Drosophila melanogaster: one gene and its partners. The protein of the gene in region 2 purifies or fractionates together with the protein of the main gene of each other region. This does not show direct contact. Each region holds a gene or a part of one and is shown on either strand. Other genes may lie near its edges.

Region 1 (5,813 bases), on a different chromosome or scaffold from region 2:
GGGGCAGCGTGTCGCCGGATCATGTAGAAACCACTTGCTCTCGCTGGTGTGCGGGTGCTCCGCTGATTTTGATTTTGGTTTTAAACTGGGACTTTTGGGTCTCAAGTGGAATCGTTGGCTCTTTGGGGAGGGTGGGAGAATCCCTTACAACGCTGGCCAGGTGGTGCTGATGCGCTGATGGTGTCGGTGTCGCATGCCGCTGCTGCTGCCCGCTGGTCACAATTCAGTTGGCCCGCGATGATGCCTCATTTGTCCTAATTTATTCGCCAAGCCAAAAAGAATTAATGAAAACAAATCAGCAGTAGTGAGACCGCACTCGGGGCTTTCAAACATACCACGCGATGGGGGTGGACCCACCTGTTTCGATAGTATCGATACATTGTCTAATTCAAAGAGCATTTAACACTCCGATTGGAAATTAATATTTATTTTTGTTTTGAAATATTATTATCTGATTTTTGGTGCACATTTTCTTAACGCTTATCAATATTTTACATAAATAGACATTTAAGAAAACACAATTTCTTGATGAAAAACGTATATTTCCACTTTGGATGTAATGCCTAAACTAATATTTATATTTTTAAAAATATTTAATCTTAAGACATATAGAAACCCGTTTTTAATGTTTAAAACCTCCTCGTCTGTCCCACTGCCTGGGAAGTGCTCGGCGCTGGAGCGCCCTGCTTGCTAGGATCCTCCAGCACCCGCACCACCATCGAGGATTTGGGGCCAGTGCACCAGGTAATGCCATTCTCGTCCACCACGAATGTTTCCAGCGTCACCTGGAAGTGCCCGCCATTGGAGATGGGCAACAGGAAGCTGCCGGAGAGGAAATCGCGCTGGGGCTTTACAATCTGATTGAGGGTCACAGTATCGTTGGCGCCCTGCTTGGGCAGCTCTTGCGAGGATCGCGGTGGCGGCGTGATTAGCTGTGAGGTGAGGCTTAATTGAACGGACTCCACGCGACGGAAGTGTTTCTTCTGCTTGCTAAAGTGCTGCAGGACACCCTCGACCTTGATAACCAGATTACTGCCCGACTGGACATTCACGGGTTCGGTGGCGCTCCTTGGCTGCGGACTCACCGATAGCTTGATCTGTGTGGACTGCAGAATCTGGAAGAAGTAACGCGGCAGGCAGAGCGGTGTCTTTGTTATGATCTCGATCTGCGCAATGATGACATCCAAATGTCGGTTACTAATGGTCTTGGCATTGGCCGGCTCCTGTGGCAGGTTTTTTTGCATCTGCTCCATGCGCTGGCAGCTTGCGGCAAAGTAGCGCGTCTCCGGGTGATCGCCTGTGGTTAGAAATACAGGCGGTTCCGGAGGCGTGGCGTAGCAAATCGACTCGATGATGTGGGCGAAAAGAGCGCACTGAAATTCAGCCACCTCCAGAAACTCCAGCGTCACGTGATCCGCATCGAAAGAGGATTTGTATAGCCTAGCGTAAGTCTCCTCGCAGGCCTTTAGTGCCTTCACCAGCTTGCGCAGCTGGTTCGTGACATGACCAAACTTTTGCAGATAGTCGCGCGAGTTCTGGGCCAAACTTCCAGCTATTGCCGGTGGCGGCACAATCACCTGGGCATTCTTTACGGTCACAGCCAGGTGAAGGGTCTGCAGAAACTGCGCCCTTATCTTCAGATACTCCAACTGAAAGGTGCACGGATGCTGGGGCGAGGAGCCAGCTCGCAGGCTGGCCAGCGCTTGCTGATAGAGATTACTAGCCATTTCCAAGCGCTTCATCAGCGGAATTAGAGGTTCCGGTGCCACCTTTGGTGCATAATTGTCCCGCATGTAGGCGTATTCCAAGCCATAGTTAAGAATGCACTCCGCCTGCGAGATCTGCGACAGTGCCACCAGGAAATAGTGCATATGATCGCTGATCACAATCTGGGAGACCTTGGTGTAAATGTGAGCAGCCACATAGTGGTGACCATAGCGACTAGCAGTGCGTGCAATCCTATACAGCGTCCAGCAGTTAAGCCTACCGAGGCATTTCTCAAAGCACTGAACAACCTTTTGCGGCAGGTAACAGCCCATGGTGGTTTGTAGAACCAGAGAACTCAGGATCTCCACGCTGCGCAACTGTTGATCGCAATTCTCCTGGTCGATAATGGTGTTCAGCTTGTGCAGAATGAGCGGCAAACGAGCTAGCATGGGATTTATCTGTGGTTAAATTAGAAATTAGAAATTGTTTCATAGATGTATTAATGCATTAGATACCTTGGGCGGGGGCAACTCATCGGTGTCCATCGCGTTTTCGTCTACTATCAAATCTTCTGCGGTGGAAAAGGCGTACTTACGCAGCTGAAAGTGCTCACACAGACCCGCCAGTGCCTCGCACATAAGTTCCGCATTGGCTGGCGGATAGGCACCCTTATCTCCCAGGCTATTGGTCACGATCCCAATGAAGGATGTTCCAAATTCAGCGTTGGCTTTAGTGATCCTTATACCGTATGTCAGCACCCTACGGAGATCGCGGGTGCACTCCGACCGCTTGGCCGTGCAAAGGAGCAATCCTTCCATGTGCAGGTTGACCATATGAAGAATATCGTCCACCTGCTCGCCGCTGCCCTTTTTTTTTAAACCAAATGCTACTAGAACCGACAAAACTGCCATGGCCTGAGTGGCGGTGGTGTAGTCGTCCAGCTTGCTAATGCACTGGATGCACAAACGGAGCAGGGCTACGCGATGCTCGCGAAGCAGCTGCTGGCAAGTAAGCGGGCACTCGCTTAACTTCAGCAGGATTGAGAGGAAGAGGAACTGCTCCTTGGAATTGGTACACAATTCAAAACGATCAATGAGCGCTTTGATGGCTGGCTTGGGCCAGGCATGAACGCTCTGACGTCCGGCCAACTCGTTGAAAGATCGCAGCACCTGTATGCGTACTGGTGTCCTTAAGTCCTGCATGAAATCCAGCAGAACATCCAGCTGACCGGGCACTCCCACCAGCGTTCGTGATGACAATTGAGTGAGCGTGTCTATGATGGCCACCACAAAGCTCTGGGCTGGATATTTGGGCAGCAGATCCATGCACAGTCTGCTAACCAGTGACGCTGTGGTAGCCTCGTGATGCATGTGTCGCAACACGGGAATCAGGAGCAGCTTCATTGGCACCGGCACCTGAAGCGATTCGATCATGTCCGAAATCTTGGCGCACATGCTGATGGCAAAGGAACTTGACTGGGCGGCAAAGCAGCTGCTGGCATAGATGGCAGCCTCCACCTCGACGGTATCGTGGCTATCCAGAGCACGTCGAATGGCATGATGAACCTGTTGCTTCTCGGGAATCACACGGGAAACGGCGCCCAAGGTGCGCAGGAGGAGAGCACGCGCCACCGGATCGTTGGAGTGCATCACCACAAAGATACAGCGCACAAAGCTGTCAATGTTGAGGATCTTGTCCAGATGATTCTCGCTCTGCTGGCAAACACGGAGCACCCAGAAGCGCAGCAGATTCGATCCGCTGACAAAGTAATCGGCCAGCTTAATGAACGACGAGTTGATGAGAATGGGAAACGGATACTTCTCGAAGAGGCGCGGAAAGCGGACGACCGCCTCGCACTGGATTCCCTGCTTGGTGCTCCGCAGTCCCTTGTCCAGTTCCATGAGCACCGCATTCGAGTCGTGCTCATTTTCGTTAAGGAAGCTCTCGTTGAAGGTGCTCACGCGGGTGCCGGTCAGGTGAGACATGGTTACAGGTTTCCTCACTCACATTTATCGCAGATAAATCGTGTTTATTGAGGTTTTCATTAGCCAAACGACACAAAAACAAACCGGCTGCAAATGCTTCTTCTTGCTAATTTGTCGTTCGTAGGAAACTCCGGTATCATTGCAGCGATAGCTGGTCACTTAACAGTAAAAAAAACGTTTGAATCCAAAGTCTATATTGTCAATTCTTTATAAGCGTTTGTCGATCGATAATAAAATTATCCTGATTTCTAAAATAAGAAAAAAATCAATTTAAGAAACAACTATTAACTTAGAAAATTATGTAGAAAGTGATGTAGCCTATTATTCTCACTCCTTCTTTGTCTCTGTGTAGATAATTTGCAAATCTGCTAAGGTCACACTGCTCGCTATTTGTTGAATTTGTTAATGTTTTGAAATTATGTTTGTTTTGACTAAAGGCACGTAAAAATGGTCTAAAACACAGAGATTATTAGTTTATTCATTTTTTAAATACTCTTTATAGATGACGAAAAGTTTGTGTTGTTTCCTGGCAAAAAGGTGTACACCATTGGTCGCCTGGCCACGGATTTAATTGTTGCGCAGGACCTCAGTATAAGTCGCAATCATGCCCAGCTGCTCATCCAAACGGAAGCGGATGGCGATGACACCCTGCATATCGAGGACCTTGGCTCCAGATATGGCACTTTCATTTTCCCCAAGAATTCCCAAAAGCCGCGCAAGGTGCCTGCCAAAACATCGACTCCATTGCCTGTGGGCACACGCTTGCGATTTGGCGCAAACATGAGCATTTGGCAGGTGACCCAACTGAAGTTGGTTACAACTGTCTCCGCATTAACGCGTTCCGAGGTCCAGGAGCTCACGAAGATGCTTGAACCCATGGGCGGCACGGTCACTTCGAACTGGACCGAAGAGTGCTCCCATCTAACCATGAACGAAGTTTCGGTGACCGTGAAACTACTGCACGCTATGCTCGAGAATAAGCCGATTGTGACATTCCCCTACTGGCGAAAGATGCTGCAGGCAGCGCAGAGCATCCATGTCAAGGAGGGCTGGCCTCAGCCGGAGGATTACCAGCCCACCAACATAGATGTCACCTGGCGTCCTGAGCGTACCCGTCTCTTCGCCGGCAAGACATTCGTCTTCATGAACCGCAAACACTTTGATATGTACGGATCAGTTGTGCAGAAGGCTGGAGCCACGTGCAAGGACATCAATTCGGGTGTGCGCAAAACATTCCTAACAAAGAGTGATGTGATAGTCATACAGTATGTGCCATCGTCCCAGTCGCAGGCCACTGAATCAATCAATAGTATACAAGATAGGTGTAAATATATTGCTCACATCACAGCGTTTAAGTATTATTATGTATTATAATTTTTAGATATTTTGGAACAGAATGGTCGACGTATTATCCAGGAGTACGAGATTGGCATGGCCCTAATACATTGCTCTATAACAGAATTCTGCAACCCAACGCACAAGTTCATCTCCGATTCATTGCCCACCACGGAGTCTGTAACTTCCTCGATGGCCTTTAACTCTTCGATCATTGTGCCCAACACGGAACGCCACTCGGCGCAATCCAATGCCACGCCCATTTCCGAACTGGTGGTGCCTGAGTCAATTGAATGTGAAATGGAACAAGATGCTTCTAAGCCCCATTCGGAGGACCAAGCTTCTTTGCGTAAGCGGAGTCATGCCTCAACAGTTGACTCCTCGGACGAGGAGAAGAAATCAACATTGTCTAAGCGAGCTAAATCGGATATCGCTACGAAACTGACCATGAAATCAAAGAATGCCATATTGTTGGACTCGTCTTTGGAAGAAGATGTGACACCAGCTCCGGCGCCTGCTCCAGTTCAACGAGTAACAAGGCAGAGCAAAGCCATCGCTGAGGAGAAATCCGTACATCCACCTGTTCCAGCTGCGAGTAAGCACATAACACGGAAGACCAAACAGGTTTTTTGTGTTGACTCATCGGATGAGGAGAACGAAAATGCTCGGAAACCAAAAGAAACGCCAGCTCCAACTATCCCTTCGATGGCCAAGAAGAAAACGGAAGCACCCGTTGCCACCAGGATTTCACCACGACTCAATGGGAAATCATTGGCCACAAATATT
Region 2 (4,688 bases):
CATCTTACATTCGCCTTGCCAAGCAGTTCGTACATCATGGAGGCGGGAAAGGTAGTTCCATCGACGGCGTTGTCCACAACGATGGCATCGATGGCCTTTTCGAGCTCGAGCAGCATCTCCTTGAGCAGTGTAAGGTCGTCCAGTGTGAAGTCCTTTGGCTCATCTCCAGCCATATCCTGCGACTCGCCGCTCGCAAAGACTTGCATGATATGCGTGACGTCCTCGATGGCCATGGCCACATCAGAGGACTTAATCTGCACCGAAGCGGACTCCTCGCAGATCTTCTCGATGTTGTGGGCCTCATCCAGGATCACAATAGTGTTGCCCAGTTCGATTTTGTTGGCCTTGCGAGCCTTGGGATCGAGTAGATAATTGTAGGGCATGAAGGTGATATCCGCCTGGGGAACCAACTCCCGAGACGCGAAGTAGGGACAGATCTTGAGTCGCTGGCCCACCTTGACCAGGTCCTCAATGTCCATGATGGTGGGTCCGCGCAAATCGGGATGATCCTTTCGCGACTCAACGCGCATTTGAAATGAACAGGTCTTGGAGTGCACCCGTAGCTTGCACATGTTGGTCTTGTTGGAGTTGCCCTGCTCCCGCATGACCTCCGGATGAATGCATAGCTGATCGCGGGAGCCCAGAACCACGGATCTCATGTTAGCGTACGCTGTCCTCTTGAGTTCCCGCATCGCCTGCGTCAATTGGGAGTGGGTGCGCGAGGCGTAGATGACCTTGGGCACGCCCCAGTTATTCGCACGACCCATGGTCTTGGCCAGCTCGGACAGGTCTCCCCCAGGTGCTCCGCCTCCAAGACCCGAAAAATCTGCCTTCTCCATCTTAACCATCTGCTTTTGGTGCTCCGATTGCCTGGTGCGGATCCAGGCCAAGGATGAGCACAGCAAGCTTAGGGTCTTGCCCGTGCCGGTTGGCGATTCCAGGACTCCATTCGTGCCATCGCGGAGACAATGGATCACCTTCTCCATGTACGCCCGTTGAACCGGGTACGGCTCGAACGGAAAGTGCACCGGAATGCCGGCGATCAGGCTCTCCGGCATTATTCTTAATAATACTATTTATTTACTTGTTTACGCGCCAAATCGGAGTGAACATGTGTTCGTTGGTCGATAACAATAAATGTCTGTGTAGGTGGTCAGTTATCGCTATCGATAGAGTACAGTGGACCCTGATTAAGTAATTTTATAGCGTTATCTTGAACTCCGAGTCAAATGTTTACAACTTGCATGTCAAACCCTGCGTAGTTTATTTTAAACGTAATAGTAGTACTAATCACCACCCAAAGTGCTGCAATCGTGTTTATGGTACCTTATGGATAATAGTAACTGAAACTTATAAACTTATTAGCATTGGAGGGAATACTGTAGTTGTGATTCTGTTTATTTGGATCAAAGATTAACGATATAACATTTTAAGTGAATGTTATGGATTATACCAAACTAATGAACTAATGGCATTCAAGATTAAATGTGCAGCATACATATAAATCCCCTAACAAGGTAAGTAAATATTTGACATCAATTATTACAAACTCAGTTAATTCAACCACAAATCCATTTATCGTGACCCCTTCGCTCGGCTTTTCCGAATCGCCGCGATACGGCCCCACTGATTTGGCGCTTCTCGGCCACACCAAAAAAACACAGAACGGCATCAAATCATTCGAACTTTGAGAACGGTAGTGTTGTGTTGTTATTGCTCGGCAGCAAAGTAAAATCCGAAGAGAAGCGAGTCGAACAAGAGAAGAAGAAGCGCAGGAGTGGACGACAGCAATGCAACAACAGTGACGAGGCGCCAGTGTGCAAAAGTATGTGTGCGAGTGCGTGTAAGCAACAACTCCCCGATACAAACCTACGAGCGAGAGGGGGACGGCGATAGCGACGGTCGTTCGGTCGGTCGGTCCGACCGCTAGTCGCGTCTGTCGGTCGTTCTCGCCTATGCACCTCGGCGGCAGAGCGAAAGAGAGCGCACTCTGGCTGTGTGTGTGCGTGTGTGTTCTCGCTCTCTCGCGCGGTGGTGATAAATTTCTGTTGGCACAAAGTAAAAATATAACAGAATAAAAAATCGTGGCGCGGCATATAGAAGCTAATCGAAAATTATTGCGAGTATTGGGTGGAGGAGAAACATTCCTCTTCTTGTGAGTGCGTTTTTGTTTTAGTTATTCTTTTTTTTTTTTTTTTTGGCCGGAAACTCTCACTCGAAGATGCTGCCGGTGTAGTTGTGTATGAATGTTGTACCATTTTTTTTTTTTTTGAGATAGAAAATTTAGATCTAAAATATTAACCATGCGATCCTTAGAATCGCACTTTTAAAATATGTCCACACATTTTCAAATTCGAAAGCTTTGGCGGGCTGTCGATGGGCGGGCGCTTGCAACTCTGGCGATAACGATTACCGTGCCGATAACGCGGCTGCACTAATCAGCATTATCACATGCAAATTAAGGTCATCCAAATGAAAAATGACCACCAATCAAAGGCCCTGCACCCCTTTGCCGCCCCCCATTTATGCGAAACAACTAGAAAAAGTGTGTTTATTTCTTCACCGTTTTTCGAGCTCTGACAACCCTGCCGCTGCTGCATAAGTGAATTCCGACAAAGAGCCGTGTCATTTTGTTGGCCAAAACATCGCTGCGCCGAGATTAATTAGACGGAAAAAACTCGATTACTTGAAGTGCTCGGCCCTATATCGTTTTGGTTTAAACGTGTGTGTGAGCTTTGTGGATTGCCATCAAACACAATAGGCCGACTCGTCCCCCGCAGCCACCCGTACCATTCCAACACGTCGGAGCAGGGTTGCCAGATCAACGATAAATCACACACCGCTCGTTTAATACGAATTTTGTGTTGTTTTTACTTAAGACAAAATTTGTGAAACTTAATAGATATATTTTAATTTCCGCTCAACGTTATACCTGTCCGAAGTGGGGGTATCTGGCAACTACACCGAGCCGCGTGTGTGCGAATGTGTGTGTGCATGTCCATGTGCGCGAGTGTGCGTATGTGTTTGCGCTCTTATTCAAATAGAAATTGAATGTTTTGCACTCGAATTCAAGACAATTACGGCTCCTCCGGTAAAAACACATTTAGACTGGCTGACCTAATTTAAGGTGTAAGGATGTGGGTTACGCCTGCGATCGCCGAGTGATCGTTATCGTTATCCCGGCTTTGGTTAATCGCATTCCTCCTTCTCCTCCCCCTGGCATCGGCATCCACCACATCCCAACCCCCTTTCTCATTTTTCTCCTCCATCGCCCCTTCTTCGGCAGGCCATCTCCCTCGCTCTCCATCAGAGATGCGTAGGTCGTGCTCCCTCGCACACACACTCACGATCGTGAGCTTGGTCATTGTGTAATCGATTTACGGTTACCTTTTACCTCAACTCGAGATGGTGGGAGCAGTAATCTACTTTGTTAATAGGGGCAGCGAATATCACGCAATATAACAAAGTGTAAGGATATCGAAACTAAACACTAATTTGTGTAATGGTACACTTCAGATAGAAAATAGAGAACCATTTAAAGATCAATCTCTTTGGCACCTGCGTTATAATGACTACTTGTTACCTAGTTTAAAACTTCTACATATGAATCTAACTCATTTATTATTTTGAATATACGACAAGTACGACAATTATAAATATTATTGCTTAGTACTAGACTTCGTATTGTTTTTGGCAAAGCCAAAGCTATTCACACGCGTGTCGCCCACCTGGCTCACGTTGCCATCTCTAGGCGACGCCAGCAGAGCGTTGTAGTGGTGGCAGTGGCGTCGAGTGAATGACTCCGTAGTGGGGCATCAATAGAAAGAGAAGAAGGAACGAGTTAGATGGAGCGAGGAGGAGATGCAGAGGAGGCATAATGGCCAGTGAGTGAAGCGGAGTGGATTTGGATTTGTGTCAAAGCGATTTTCCCCAACATAAATATTTAGCTCTCTAGGACCAACGGCCGACCCCCTGGGAATTAAATTCCATTTTGTTGTTTAATTAGCACTTGCGTTATGCGACAGAGTGTGCGGTGTGTAGATAGTTTGTGAGTGATATCGTTGATTACGCAGTTGTTTCATTATCTGTATGGATTTATATTGCCGCTTCTTAATCGATTGGCCACAGTGCGTATGCGCAACCTATTGATATTTTACAACCAGTTGCGTACCTGTTTCATTATCATTTCGTTCTGTTCTGTTCTGTTTCGTTCGTTACCATTCGCAGTTCGCTGTTGTTGTTGTTTCTCCAGTCCAAATGTCAGCTGTTGCACGCAACATGTACCATAGAAGCGGAACAGCGAAACGCAGAAAAAGAGCAAATCGATCAAGCCCAGGACAAGAACAACAAGTGCAAGAGAATCGGCAGCAAAAACAACAAGCAGATAAAGAGAGCTGCTAACAACGTAAACAAAACCTAAACACCTATACACACGCAAAGGGAGATAGCAACAAATACAAAAACAACAACCACAAATAGCAAGAATATAGCAGAAAGCGAGAGAGAAGGAGAGGGAGAAAGTGCACCTGAGAGGGGAAATAAAAGATCAACGATAAAAGATAAGAGATAAAGTAAGTAAAGCTTGACTTTTTGGTTTGTTGGTCAATCGAAATTGAACCTGTACCGATAACGTTTACCAAATTTCATAACACCAAAACATTGATTTAATTGTCAAAACCAAAACGTTA
Region 3 (6,227 bases), about 12 Mb from region 2:
AACTTCGAAATGAAACTTCAACTCGTGACCTCAGAGGGCCGGGTGGGTGAGAAGAGCGGGGTGCAAGGGAAATGGGAAATGGGGAGTGTGTGTTATTTTTAGCCGATGTGTTGGTGAGCACGTAACTGTATTTCAGCCAAGTGCATAGGCGTATGCGTATCTACGGGGAAGAAAAAAGAGCGCACCGCTTGTATTTCATAAAACTCACAAGCACACGGAACCTCAACGTATGATACACATGTATATATATATATATATCTCCGATTAGGCGATAGCCGTGTTCTTCGCTTTTTATCACCAACGGAACGAACAACTGACGCAAACGTTACTTAAGGCTTGCGCTTCTTCTTCTTGCACAGCAACATGTCATTCATGCGTTTAATTCACAGCTCTAGAGTTTCGGTCCTGCCATTCAGGCACATTTACACCAAGTAATTTAAAAAATAAAAAAAAAAATGCGAACTACACTCGTCCAATTCGATTACTCGAACAAACATACACACACACTCACGCACGCTACGCGCTCTCAACGAAAACCGAATGATGTCATCATCGGTGGCAGAGACAGCGACGCCGGCAGCGACGGCGACAGCGTCGAAATATATGAGTTAGCAGGCAATTTTAATCGATGATGTTTTTATTATGTACGTAGAAATGTATGCGAGAAATCACTTGCTTTTCATATTTTAGCACACTTCTAATTCTCAAACCAAAAACACACACACAGGCACACCAAGAGTAAGAGTCGCTCACACATTCGTTAGATACTTTTTGCTCTCTTTTGCCACTTCTGCCTTTTATTGGTGGCTCCTTTTTCGTGGCCTATTCACTTGGGCGTTGGTCTATTTCACATTTTCCCCGTTCGACCGCTTGCGTTTCGAATTTCGCGCCGTTTTTACTGCACTGCGGCGACTTTCACTTACCTACTCGATAATTTTGCAGCTCCGCTCGCCCTAATTGATTCATAAAACACAGTTAATTTCATAGATTTAGCACGTTCAACTAAAAATCTTCGGTCTGGCGGATGAACTTCACTTGGCGAGAATGGAAAAAATGTATGTATTCAAAACATCGCGTTGCGAACGAGTGAACGAAGTGAACCAGCGCGAGAAGGCGCTAAAAAACGCCTACTGCGCAGTGTGGCCGTGCCACATGATCTGGCTATAAATTAGCCAAAACGGTGGAACTTAAGATTTTTATATATTATTTAACTTAAATATTCCTTCATATTTGTATAACCTAATATTACATAAACAATTGTTTACGCCACATGTACTCTATTACTTCGAGCTATTTAAATAATATTAATTAAATTTTTATCAGAACCAAAATGTTCTTATTTTCCTAAGATTTTCGTTACAGAAATGCTTATATACAAACATAACTTATTTATATTTAACTTTTTTTAATATGTTGGCTTTTTGGGAGAATATAAGCCTTATTGCTAATAATAACAGTAAAGATTTTACTAACTTAATAGTACTAATAGTTGTTAGCCTCTTGCAATAATTGTTAATATTTTTCTTTAGCTGCGCATCTCTTTGTTAACCTTCACCTATGAGAGCAGTATAGTATTTTTATAATAATAAAATAATAAAATGTAGTAATTGCTGGTATATTTGCAGCCTCTCCAACTGGCCACACTGACGTGTGTTGATTTTTTGGATGCGGATCGCAGTGGATTCTCGGATTCTCCGGCATTCCCTGCCCCAACTACAGATCGCCGAGATTAAAGCAGACCCGCGCCGGCATCTCCAGCACGGACACCCCGCCGGCCAGGCCAATAGAGCGGGACAACCGAGCACACGAGCATTGCCGGGTGCAACAAGTTGGAACGCAACGACAACGACGACGAGGACAAAATGCCGGTGAGGATGTACGATGTATCGCCGCGCGTTTTCTGCGCCATGCAGAATCTGGACATCACCCTGCTGGCCAGCTATCCGGAGGCGGAGATTCGGCCCGTGCTGCCCTCGCTGGTGCGGATGAGCCTGCTATCGCCACTGGACAACACCGAATCGTCGATGGAGTCGCGCAAAGAGATCCTGGCCGTGCTCATCGGCATCGAGGTGGTGAACAGCATCGTCTCCTACCTGCAAGTCAACTACCATGAGCTGGAGAATGAGCTGAAGAAGGAGCTGCAGGCCCGCCAGAAGTCGGCCTTCTTCGAGGGACAGCAACACGAGTACGGCCTCCAGTCGGGCATCGCACTGGGCTTTGAGCGGGCGGATGTGGCGCGCAAGGTGCGCGTGGTGCTCTCCGAGATCTTCAATCTGCAGCAGCAGGTCTCCGAGCAGAAACCGGCCGCCCATTCGGAGATGCTGGACGACGGCATCTATCTGGAGGAGGTGGTCGACATTCTGTGCATTGCTCTCGCCGAGCTGCCCTCCCTGCTGAACATACTGGAGCTAACGGACGCCCTTGTCCATGTGCCCAACGGACATCGCATCATCTGCGCACTGGTCGCCAACTTTCCGGATTGCTATCGCGACGTTGTGTCCCATGTGATCGCCAATTGCGACGAGGATGGCAGCGATGGCAAGCACCGGTTAATGCTGCTCATGGGGCTCAGCGAGATGAATCCCTCCCAGGCGCTGGCCAACAGGTCCATGTGCGTGGATATGCTGAAGGTGCCGTCGTTTATGCTTAAGCTCACGCTCAAGCATCCCGAGGATCTGGTGAGTAGGGTAATATTGACCAGTAAGGTGCAGATTTACCACAACACTATAATCGTTAGGAAATTCTTTGCATTTCATTTAAATTTAACGTACATAAGAAATGTTTTTTGATCATATTTTGTTGATTGATCTTTTTTGTTTGGAGTACCATTCATTTGGAGTTCTGCTTATTTTTGTGTAACATGTGTTAAGCAAAAGCAAAAGCGAGAAAATGTTGCTTAGCTATCTCGCTCTAATTCGCTAGAGCGATTGAATCTTATTTGGACGTATGACAATATTTACGAATAATGAGATAACAATGCAAACTTCAACCACTCCCCACAGATAGCCTTCCTCACGGGCCTGCTGCTGGGCAATGACCAGAATCTGCGCTCCTGGTTCGCCGCTTACATCCGCTCCAGCCAGAAGCGGAAGGGGGACGCACTGAATCTGGTGCGCGTGGAGCTGCTACAGAAGGTGATTCAAACGACGACCAATGCGGCGGAGCTGCGCGACTTCAATCTGCAGGGCGCGGTGCTGCTGCGTCTGTACTGTGCCCTGCGCGGCATCGGTGGCCTGAAGTTCAACGACGACGAGATCAATGCTCTGTCGCAGCTGGTCACGAGTTGTCCGCAGGCGACGCCCTCGGGCGTGAGATTTGTAACGCTGGCGCTGTGCATGCTCATCGCCTGTCCCTCGCTGGTGTCCACCATTCCACTGGAGAACAAGGCTGTGGAGTGGCTGCAGTGGCTCATACGGGAGGATGCCTTTTTCTGCAAGCGCCCCGGTACTAGCACCTCGCTGGGTGAGATGCTCCTGCTTCTGGCCATTCACTTTCACAGCAATCAGATCTCGGCCATCAGCGAGATGGTCTGCTCCACGCTGGCCATGAAGATACCCATCCGGCCGAACAGTACAAACAGAATCAAGCAGCTCTTCACACAGGACCTGTTCACGGAGCAGGTGGTGGCGCTGCATGCGGTTCGCGTACCCGTCACTCCGAATTTAAATGGCACCATACTGTGCTACCTGCCGGTGCACTGCATCCAGCAACTGCTGAAATCGAGGACATTTCTCAAGCACAAAGTGCCCATTAAGTCGTGGATCTTCAAGCAAATATGCAGTTCGGTGAGGCCAGTGCATCCTGTGATGCCGGCCCTGGTGGAGGTCTTTGTCAACACGCTGATAATACCCAATCCCACCGGAAAAGTGAATATTGATCACATGCACCGGCCCTTCACTGAGGCGGAAATTCTGCACGTGTTCCGCACATCCAAGCTCACATTCTTCGCCGAGGAGCTGCCACCGATGGCGGAAAGTCAGGAGCTCAACCAGATCGAGGTGACGTGTCCACTAACCGCCCAGCTGCTGATGATCTACTACCTCATGTTGTACGAGGATACGCGACTGATGAACCTCAGCGCTTTGGGTGGTCGCAAGCAGAAGGAGTACTCCAACAACTTCCTGGGCGGACTGCCACTGAAGTATCTGCTCCAGAAGGCGCACCACTACCACAACGACTATCTCTCGCTCTTCCATCCGCTGCTGCGTTTGATTATCTCCAACTATCCGCATCTCAGCATGGTCGATGACTGGCTGGAGGAGCACAATCTGGCCCAGGGCAATTCCACGGTGGTGGTAAGCAAGCATGAGCTCAAGCCGGAGACCCTGGATCGTGCACTGGCCGCCATCCAAACGAAACCGCATCTAGCCATCCGCGTGTTTAAGCAGCTACTCCAGATGCCCCCAGAAACGCAGGCGCAGTATGGACAACAGCTGGTGAAGCATCTGCCGATGGTGTTTGCCAAGTCGGTGCCGCGATACGTCAAGGATCTGTACAACGATATTTGGCTGCGCCTGAATGCCGTGCTGCCCACCACCCTGTGGATCATGTCGCTGCGAGCGATTACCAACGGCTCGGATACGATGGATCGACGTACCTTTGCCAACGAGAGTCTTCTGGAGCCCATGGAGGTGCTAAGGTGGGTTGCCTCGTCATTTTCGTGTGTTGTTTCCTAAAATTCTTTCGCATTCCTTTTGATCAACAGTTGTCCACGCTTCGTATTCTGTTCGCCCTATTTGCTGATGATCCTGCTGCGCATTCTGAAGGGCAGCCTAGCCGCCTCGAAGACCTATCTCAACGTGCACATGCAGATGCAGCAGAAGCAGGTGCTGGACAAGAATGGCATGATGCAGACGGATGCGATTTGGGAGGACCTAAGGACCACGCTGATTGCCTCGCAGGAGAGCGCCGCCGTGCACATTCTGCTGGAGGTGCTGGACTACATAGCCAGCAAGGCAACGGATCGGGTGTCGCATCTGGAGCTGCGTGAGATACAGGGCATCATTGGCACCTATGTGCATCAGGCATTCATTTCGGAGCCTTCGCTGGCGAAACTAGTGCACTTCCAAACGTATCCAAAGTCGGTTATTCCCATGATGGTGGCCAGTGTGCCATCGATGCACATATGCATTGATTTTGTTCACGAATTCCTCAACGTGACGGAAATGGAAAAACAGATCTTTACCATCGATCTGACCTCCCATCTGGTGCTCAACTATTCGATACCCAAGAGTCTGGGCGTCTCGAAATTCTGCCTGAATGTAATCCAGACGACGTTGTCCATGCTGACCGCATCGACCAAGTGTAGATTCCTGCGCAATGTGATGCCAGCGATGGTTCGTTTCGTGGAAACGTTTCCCATTCTGGCCGACGACTGCGTCAACATCCTGATGACCACCGGGCGCATTCTGCATTCGCAGTCATCGCTGGGCATGACCACAATGGAAATGCCACTCACCGATAGCGACAAGCTCTGCACGTATCGGGATGCCCAGCTGCACATCATCATGATCGAGGACGCGTTTAAGGCACTGGTCACGGCGGTCATGAAAAAATCGGACCTGTATTAGTTGGACTCGATCCCGCCTTGTTTTTCATAGTCGTAAGCAACCTTTCCCCACTCCGCCCCCCGGCTGATTATAATAGTGCTTGTAAAATTTATAACAACATTGACCAGAATAAATACTTATTGCAAAAACCATTTCTATATAACTAATTAATTAATTGAGTTTAAATTTGGCGCCTCAAATAAATATATAACTACGCAGCTGTTATCGGAATCTACTTTTATCGATAATATACTTTGGTTAGCGAGTACACATACCAGATATATCTATCGTTCCCGGCCATGCCACCCATACGCGTATCGGGTTATCGATAAAAACTAACAAGCATCGACATTAGTTCCAGCTCTAGTTTTTGTTGTTGTTAAATTAAAGCTCGGATGTGAATTACAATAATTGTGAGTAGCGTTCGTGCGTGCGTAATATGCGAATCGACTGGCATTCGGCATTGAGTTTTGTGTTTTGATTCCTGAATCGAGTCAGGACGTATCTGACCTGCTTTTTCAGTGTGCGTTTACGATGCTGATTCGTAATTGTCCTTTGTATACGTTGTGTACGCGCTGCTCCTCTCTCCTCTCGCTCTCCCTCTCCCGCTCTCCCTTGTCTTGAGTGTGTGCGCCTGCTGTGTGCGTGTGTGTGAGTGAGTGAGAGTTCCATGGTGGG

Evidence for each region.
Region 1: the proteins of IntS6 (region 2) and defl purify together in Drosophila melanogaster (affinity purification with mass spectrometry, with the first as the bait; one large-scale study listed by BioGRID). This does not show direct contact.
Region 3: the proteins of IntS6 (region 2) and IntS2 purify together in Drosophila melanogaster (affinity purification with mass spectrometry, with the first as the bait; one large-scale study listed by BioGRID). This does not show direct contact.

The regions. Positions count from the first base shown.
Region 1 is NT_037436.4:9,721,421-9,727,233, reverse strand, and holds defl (deflated), read right to left. Parts: upstream 3,812-5,813; 5' UTR 3,693-3,811; coding exon 2,223-3,692; intron 2,166-2,222; coding exon 630-2,165; 3' UTR 528-629; downstream 1-527. Other genes in the region: nbs, read left to right, coding at 4,111-4,129, 4,195-5,016, 5,074-5,813. UniProt on the Drosophila melanogaster protein: Component of the integrator complex, a multiprotein complex that terminates RNA polymerase II (Pol II) transcription in the promoter-proximal region of genes.
Region 2 is NC_004354.4:5,744,239-5,748,926, reverse strand, and holds the start of IntS6 (integrator 6), read left to right. Parts: upstream 1-1,672; 5' UTR 1,673-2,155; intron 2,156-2,551; exon of another isoform or gene 2,552-2,724; intron 2,725-4,227; exon of another isoform or gene 4,228-4,571; intron 4,572-4,688. Other genes in the region: Rtel1 (regulator of telomere elongation helicase 1), read right to left, coding at 9-1,058. UniProt on the Drosophila melanogaster protein: Component of the integrator complex, a multiprotein complex that terminates RNA polymerase II (Pol II) transcription in the promoter-proximal region of genes.
Region 3 is NC_004354.4:17,652,234-17,658,460, reverse strand, and holds IntS2 (integrator 2), read left to right. Parts: upstream 1-1,642; 5' UTR 1,643-1,862; coding exon 1,863-2,678; intron 2,679-3,002; coding exon 3,003-4,639; intron 4,640-4,705; coding exon 4,706-5,570; 3' UTR 5,571-5,700; downstream 5,701-6,227. UniProt on the Drosophila melanogaster protein: Component of the integrator complex, a multiprotein complex that terminates RNA polymerase II (Pol II) transcription in the promoter-proximal region of genes.